Linked DNA regions of Oryzias latipes. The protein of the gene in region 1 purifies or fractionates together with the protein of each later gene. This does not show direct contact. Links are inferred from orthologs where the notes say so. Each region holds a gene or a part of one and is shown in the gene's direction. Other genes may lie near its edges.

Region 1 (3,753 bases):
ATCGTCCGTCTTTCAGATAGCTTCTGACAGGTGAGAACCGGTCATGATTCCTCTCTGTCTCTGTGGGTCAAACTCACCGATGACCCTTCATTGTGCTCAAATATGAACACCTGGAACATTTTCAAATCTCATTTGTCAGCCGTGTCACACTGAGTCACATGATGTCTGTTGAGTTTTATTTGCTAAAAAGTTGCTGATGTGACTTGTAGAGTCTTAGAAATGTTTAGACTGTGTAAAGTAAACCAATTAGAAAGAATACATTAAAGATAATTTACAAAATTTGAGTTTTTTTTTTTAAATCTGAGTTGATAAATTGGTAAGTGTGTGAGACCCCCCACCCTGTTTATCTCATCATCATCTTTTGAAATGCTAAAAAAAAGGGTACCTTAGAAATCTAAGGAATCCCAGGCTTTAAACTGGGATTTGGCTCTTTAGGTGAACCGAAGGCCACAAAAGGTTTTCTCTCAGAAAAAACGTGACTTCTTTGAATGATTAGTGACAGAGGATAGTTTTTCACATTTTGATGCAATCTTTTTATTCAACCCATGGAATAAAAGCTGAAAGTCTGCACTTCAATGACATCTGAGTTGTTTTATTTAAAATTCACCGTGGTAATGTACAGAAACAAAATTAGAAATAATATCTCTCTGTCCAAATATTTATGGTCCTGACTGTGTATATATACGTATATATATTTATATAGTCAAAAGGTTGTGCTTGTGTTTTTTAAATAAGAAAATATTTCTTTTTGGGGGGGGGGCGTCACTGTTTAAAAAAATTAAAAATAAAAAAGTTCGGAATGGGTGTAATCAGCTAAACAGCCACTAGAGGGCAGTGTAAAAAATATGCCACAGATGGCTTGAGGAGGCACGCTGGTCACGTGATTCGTTGACGTAAGGAAGAAACCGCGATATTTCAGTATCAACAAGCGCTCGCTGTCTGGCTGTTTCGGATTTTACGTTTTCTGTTGTAATTTCCCCCCCCAGAATTCCCTTGTCGTGACTCGAGTTTTGTCCTGAAACGAGGCTTACTGCGGTTAAACTAAGCCGCTCTGTTACCGGAAGTGGGTCACGGCTCTTCCTTTTGGGTTCCAAAGCAGTTCTGTTCTGTTCGGGCCCACGTTAACGGTCTAACGGACGATGGTTCTGGTGAGAAACCTCCGTCCTCCTACCGAGGGAGTGCGCCACGAGGAAGCCAACACCACTGCGGTGCTGAGCGGGCAGCAGCTCGGCTGTGGCACGTTGTACGTCGCCGAAACGTAAGTGATCCACGTGGCGCGCGTGTTTTGGTCGTTACACGTTGGAGGCAAATCTTTATGCACATTTCATTCACCCCGAAATGTATCCATCATAATATGTTCGATGATAAACTGCAGCTTGTTAGCACTAGTTCAGACCCCAGGAAGAGCTTCCGGTATTGCCCTGCTTTTCAAAATAAAACGTTAAATCGAAGTCATGTTTACGTGACAGTTCCGTGGTTCATTTTCTGCTGTCAAAGTATTGAATTAAAATAGGTTTATTGATTTATCCCCATTGATTTGTTTGTCTTTAACTTTAGTCTCAACTGATCACAAGACCTTTAAAGAGTAACTTTCCGTTTTTTCATATTAATTTTGTATTTTAAAGGTTAACACTGGATGGACTCTATACATGAAGTGTAAATACTATGTTTAACTAAATCTTTTCATTTTAATAACTTTGAATAAAAAATAATAGATTAGATTTGTCCCTGTAGTTAATTCCTGTGATTATTGTTATTTCTTTTTTTAGTGAAATTAAATTTAACTTGATTATTTGCTCAGGAAATCTTAATAAGATGTACTTTGAGGTTCAACATAACTCCTCTGATCATTCATTATTGTTTGGTAGTGCATTTTTAAATGAATATATTTTATTTCTCAGGTTAATGGATAAATAATTCAATAGAAAGGAGTCAGTGAGTCAAAATGCAGCCTATAATAAAGATCTTTATGGTTACGTGGCGCTGCAACACTTTCAGCTAACTCGACGTCAGACTTGATTCTCTTTTTCTGGTTTTTAATGTTGGAATCGGCCTCCTCTGATCTGTGTCTTTGTCCGTCTCAGGCGCCTGTCGTGGTTCGACGGCTCAGGGATGGGCTTCTCCCTGGAATACCCCTCCATCAGTCTGCACGCCATCTCCAGGGATGTCAGCGCCTACCCCGAGGAGCATCTCTACGTCATGGTCAACGGAAAACTAGGCGGTAAGAAAACCTTCAGTCATCTCTAAGCTTATTTGATTGCTTGAAATAAACCATTTCAAATCAAATCAAATCTCCTGAAAGCAGATCTGGGTTTTCTGCTTTGGTTTTTCTTCATTCATTCAACAATTTCATCCGTTCGTTTTCTTGTAGGTGAGGGTGAAGCTGAGATGACAGAGAAAGCAGCAGAAGAAGAAGATGATGATGGTAGTGACAGCAGCAACGGTGACGAAGAGGAAGTGATCACAGAAATTCGATTTGTTCCCAGAGACAAAGCTTCATGTGAGTGAGCGGTAACGGCCACCCGATCCGTGACGGCTAACCGATCAAGATCGCGTAGCCGTCACGGATCGGCCCCCCCCCCCTGATCCCGCCCGTCTGCCATAAAAAGTAGAAGATTAGAAATGTTTGCGTCTGTTTCCACGCAGTGGAGTCCATGTTCTCAGCCATGTGCGAGTGCCAGGCGTTACATCCAGACCCCGACGACGAAGACTCAGACAACGACTTCGAAGGAGAGGAGTACAATGTGGAGGAAGCTGGTAAGGACAACAGACGCACACAGCCGGGGAAACTTTATTTAAAATGTTTTTCTTATTTTATTCCCATCATTTTTGCAGAAATGCAAGGATTTTCTCACATATATAAAATAATCAGATTTTTTTGGATCAATATTAACTTTCAGGTGATTGATTGATGCTGAAACTGATGGTCAGTGAAACGCTGAAGATGACTAAAAGAAACTCAAATATTAACCCTAATTCTTTATAGTTCATACTGTGGCTGTAATGGCCTGGAAATTAAATCTCTGCTGTTTTTTTCACACTAAATATGATTTCAGATTTACATTGATTTTTTTTCTTTCCCCTCTCTTTACTTTCTTTAAAAAAAAAAAAGACAAATGACAGAATATAGCTAGCAGAAATGCTTTTATTTTGACATTTCCTTTGGGAGTGGACCTCAATTCAAGTTGCAACTGAATACAGACTGTAAGGCTTCTGAAACGTTGTGTTTTTGAGCTGCTGCTGCTTGATCGTCTCACAGAAAGCAGCACCGTTTGACTCTGGCTCAGCTGCTGAAACCAGTTTGTGCTTTAGGGAGCTGCTAACGCATTCTGCAAATTGTTGCTTCAAGTCTGAAGTTGAAAATCCAAACCCCTTCCATGTTTTTTGGGAACGAGCCCCTCTTCTTTTTGCTTGCTGGCATTTTACCGTGCGAGAGACGGGCGGGCTAACACAACAGAGCAGGATGCTGGACGGAAAAAATCCAGATTGTCCCGAAAGTAAATCTTTCTAAAGACCCATTCAGATGAAAACGGTGTTTTTAACATGTTCATGTAGCATTTTTTCCTCATGCTGGAGGACAAATATTAAGAAAATAAGGCTTTAAATTTCATTTTTCATTTAAAAAAAAGCTCATAACTGCACTCTGCAACCCCCCTGCTCCTTTCTGCTGCATCTACTTAGAAAAATAGATCCATAGACGTCTTCGTTTTCCTCGTCTGAGCTGGAATCTGGATCTAAACTCTACGGCTGGAC
Region 2 (3,753 bases), on another chromosome or scaffold:
ACTGATAGTTGAAGCCAAACATAAGGCCTAAAAGGACGCCTCCCCTGGACCAGGACTTCATGGGTCTTTGGTGGGGGAACCTCCATCTCCTCCACAGTGAGGGATCTCCTGGGCTTCCAGGCAACAGCTGCCTTGCACCTCTGAAAGCACACCTGCTTCAGCTGTTTGTGCATGTGACTATCAACGACTGGTTACAAACACAATCACACACTCTTTCCTCTCTCTCTCTCACACACACACTCTCGGAAAACAAAAGCATTCCTCCCTGACCAGCTGTTGCCATAGTTACCCGCGCAGCAGAATTTTAAAAAGCCAACAAACACTTAAACATCTCCACTATTGGAGCAGCGTCTGTCTGGCGAAACTTTTGATGAAGTCAGAGTGGTCTGTCTCTTTAAGGACGGGGCAGGTCGGCTTATGACACAAAGAAGACAAGGGTTGCCAGATCGGTCATGTTTCCGCTTCTTTGGAACTCTTTGGGCTGGACACATCTGCAGTTGGCAAAATGAACAAATTCAGGCTGTTTTTCTCAAAACTGATGTTTTGTTTTAAATTTAAAAAAATGTTTTTCTAGAAATTATGCTTAAAGAGTTTTGTTGGTTAACCAGATGTCACTAGAAAGAGCTGTAGTAAATTACTTTAGAATTACTTTAAAATATTATTCACACATAAAAAAGTATTCATCCAAATAACTATCAATATTACAGAAACAATTAACACCTAAAACAAAAAAAAATTGAACATATTGAACTGGAGGTGTAAAATTATGGAATAAGGTAAAAAAAAATAACCACAAATTATTGTGCTGATTTACATTTACAGTCAACTAAAGGTCAAAAGGAACATGGGGTTGATTTCAGTCTTTAGCTATTGTGAGGCTTATTGTGAAAAAAATTACTGATATACAAGTTTGAAATCTTTGTTTTCACACATAGCCCACACAATATAACCAATATTATTCTACTTTAAAGATTAAACTGAGTTTAGTCCTACTTCACAAATGAAAAGAAGCAGTGACAGACCTTAAAGCAGTCAAACACCTGAAAATGACATGCTGAAGTCTGATCCAGATGCAAGTTGGATTTCTGGTCATGGTTGTGCAGTCAGAGGAAAATCGTAGTGTAACTCAGCAGCAGAGGTTTCCTATTGCATTTGCTAAGTTTCTTGTTAATATAATTTTTTAAGTGTTTTTAAATAACAAATGATGCAAATACCACAAAAAAAGTTATGAATACAGCTCAAGTTACTAGGAACCGCACGAACAATTGTGTAGAAAATACACACAGAAAATGCAAAAGATTAAAAAGAGACTGATAAAAACAACAAATCACTCAAAAGGAGACGACAACTAATAGTTTATTGATTTATATATTTTTATAAAATAAATCTATCTTGATTTTGTAAATTACCATTAAAAAGTCTTAGTTTAGCTTTTTTATGTGGGGGGAAGTTTAGTCCGGGTTGTGTTTGCCTTTACTGATTTTACTGCGTAGTTTTGTCGGGAAATGATCTGATCTGGCAACCTCCTGTGCGACATCAGAGACAACCTTTACGGCAGCCTGCGCTTGCGCGTGTTGTCACGTGGACATTTCCTCTGCGATAACAGGTAAGTTCTTGCCTTTACATCTTATTTTCTTGGGTAATAGTTTTCCACGTGTCATATTATTTATCAGCAGATGAGCGGGGTGTGTAAAGAACCCACTGGAAAGCGGTGGTTTCGCGCCTAAACGGTCGTGTTTACGGTGAGCTGCTCCGGGAAGCACGTGCTCTCGCTGATCCTTTCACCGAAGCCGGTTTTTTTAGCGCGTGAGGCACCGGGGGAGCCTCAGGGCGCGTTAAAGTTCCGGACACGGTTCCACGCGTGTTTCTGGTTACTGCAACCTGTCGTGTCGCTGTGTTTGCCAGCTAAACACTCGCACTATTTGCACAGCGGACACGGGACGGGACGGTCGCACGCGGCTGAAGACTGGATTCGTTGACGGGATCACTCCGCGGTTGTAAAGCGGCGGGCGGCTATCTGTGTGCTCTATTTTGTAAGACTGTAAGGAGTAAAACATTTGTTTGCATTCTTACTGTAACGACTCGGTTTCCGCCCACTGCCATAGCAATCAGCGGGCGAGGTGCATCATGGGAGCTCATGGTTTTGGTGCGTTTGTCAGTTCAGCTTTTGGTGTTTTCTTTGTTCATTGTGTTGTTGTTTTTTTCTTTAAAAAAGTATCAAATATACGCCATGTGGTCATTGGCATATACACAGAGTCCCGATATTCAATTCAACTGAGTGAGCATGCGCGTTGAGCCTCGTTTATTAAACTAAAAACAGAATTAAACTTTCTGAAATGTTATTGATCTTCTAGAAGGGAAATTATCTTTATCATAGTTTTGTTTAAAAAAAACAGATTATAATGGCGATGTCCTGCCGTATTTTTTGAGAATGAAGTGATATTTATGCCAACACATTGCAAACAAAACTTTTTAAGTAGCAAGTGAAGGTATTAAATAGTTGCTTAAATAGTTCTTAAATTTTTTTCTGCTTTCAAAAAAAAATTTTGCGTTTTAACACGTCTCATTTCGCTGTTTCCCTATCTTTGATTTAACGTTCATAAGTCTCAGTTTAGCGTGACATATGTGCCAACAAACAGCCTGCTGATTGGTCCAGATTCTAACCAGCCGCACAACTTTGTCTTCATAAATGCGTTTCTTTTTGACACATTCCTTACCCCATAGTATCAGTCTATGGGTGGATTCAGACTCCACACAGTTGGTTCTCTTAAAGTGAACCAGAAGTTCGTTTCCCCCGACAATCTGGAACAAATTTTCAGTCTGAATAAACCCAAGTGGGCCCTGGTGCGGGACCAGGAACCGCTTGGTTCCATCTGTGGAGGTGGTCTCTCAGTTCGTTTCCAATCGGACTGAGCTTTGGTGTACTCTAAGGTTCTTCAGTCTGAATACAGTCTGTTCCCAGAGTGGAACAACGGAACCAAAAATGGCCACCGTAGCCGCTCCGTATGGGATGTAAACGGAAAAGGAAGTAACCATGACGATGAGACACAGCAACTCATTGAAATGTGATTGGATAAATGCAGGCTCATTAAAACAACTTTTAATGTGACGCACGTTGCTTCTCACTGTTTTCCCGACCATCTGCATGTCATAAAGTCTTATCAGTGACTCTTGCCGTTAGCCGCCCTACAGCCAGCCTCCACTGGACCAATGGGATTGCAAAGTGCACTAGTCTTTGACTGCCCTCGTAATTCCTGGCCAATGACTGAAGAGATCTTTAGTCACACGTTTTTTTTTTTACAAGCTTTGGTTGGTTGGAAACAGAAATGTCCGGTTGAAGGCAGTCTGACTACAGACCCAATGCAACGCTCAGGACTCAATCTGGACCAAACTAAGCAGACTCAGTCCAGACCAACTGACACCCTTCATATTTTTCAACCCAGTTCCTTACAATTCCCTCTGTTTAGACAGTTGACTGTATATGAGAACTGGACTGAGTGACTCCTCTCCCGTAGAGTTCCAAACAGGAAGTTCCCGCTGTCTCCAAGAAGCCAAATTTCCATAGACTTCTACAGAGAAATGAGCAGCTGTAACTCACTTAGGGGTAGGGTTGTGCCGATGGACGATATCATCGTCCATCGTGATGGGTGACTGACATCCCGATGGAGAGACCACCATCGTGATGCCACGCCCCCGCCACGTTGCGCGTCGACACCATAAGCCGCGGTTACATGTACAAAATATCTTGATGGG

The links. Proteins that work in one complex are often made in the same cells at the same time.
Region 2: the proteins of clns1a (region 1) and gar1 purify together in Homo sapiens (affinity purification with mass spectrometry; 3 studies listed by BioGRID and IntAct, counting the BioPlex papers as one, with this or other methods). This does not show direct contact. The link is inferred for Oryzias latipes from reciprocal best matches to the Homo sapiens genes CLNS1A and GAR1.

What each region holds. Positions count from the first base shown.
Region 1 is NC_019871.2:4,488,289-4,492,041, forward strand, and holds the start of clns1a (methylosome subunit pICln), read left to right. Parts: upstream 1-871; 5' UTR 872-1,139; coding exon 1,140-1,258; intron 1,259-2,084; coding exon 2,085-2,221; intron 2,222-2,371; coding exon 2,372-2,500; intron 2,501-2,646; coding exon 2,647-2,757; intron 2,758-3,753. UniProt on the Homo sapiens protein: Involved in both the assembly of spliceosomal snRNPs and the methylation of Sm proteins.
Region 2 is NC_019868.2:3,864,319-3,868,071, reverse strand, and holds the start of gar1 (H/ACA ribonucleoprotein complex subunit 1), read left to right. Parts: upstream 1-1,518; 5' UTR 1,519-1,606; intron 1,607-1,725; exon of another isoform or gene 1,726-1,742; intron 1,743-3,753. UniProt on the Homo sapiens protein: Required for ribosome biogenesis and telomere maintenance. Part of the H/ACA small nucleolar ribonucleoprotein (H/ACA snoRNP) complex, which catalyzes pseudouridylation of rRNA.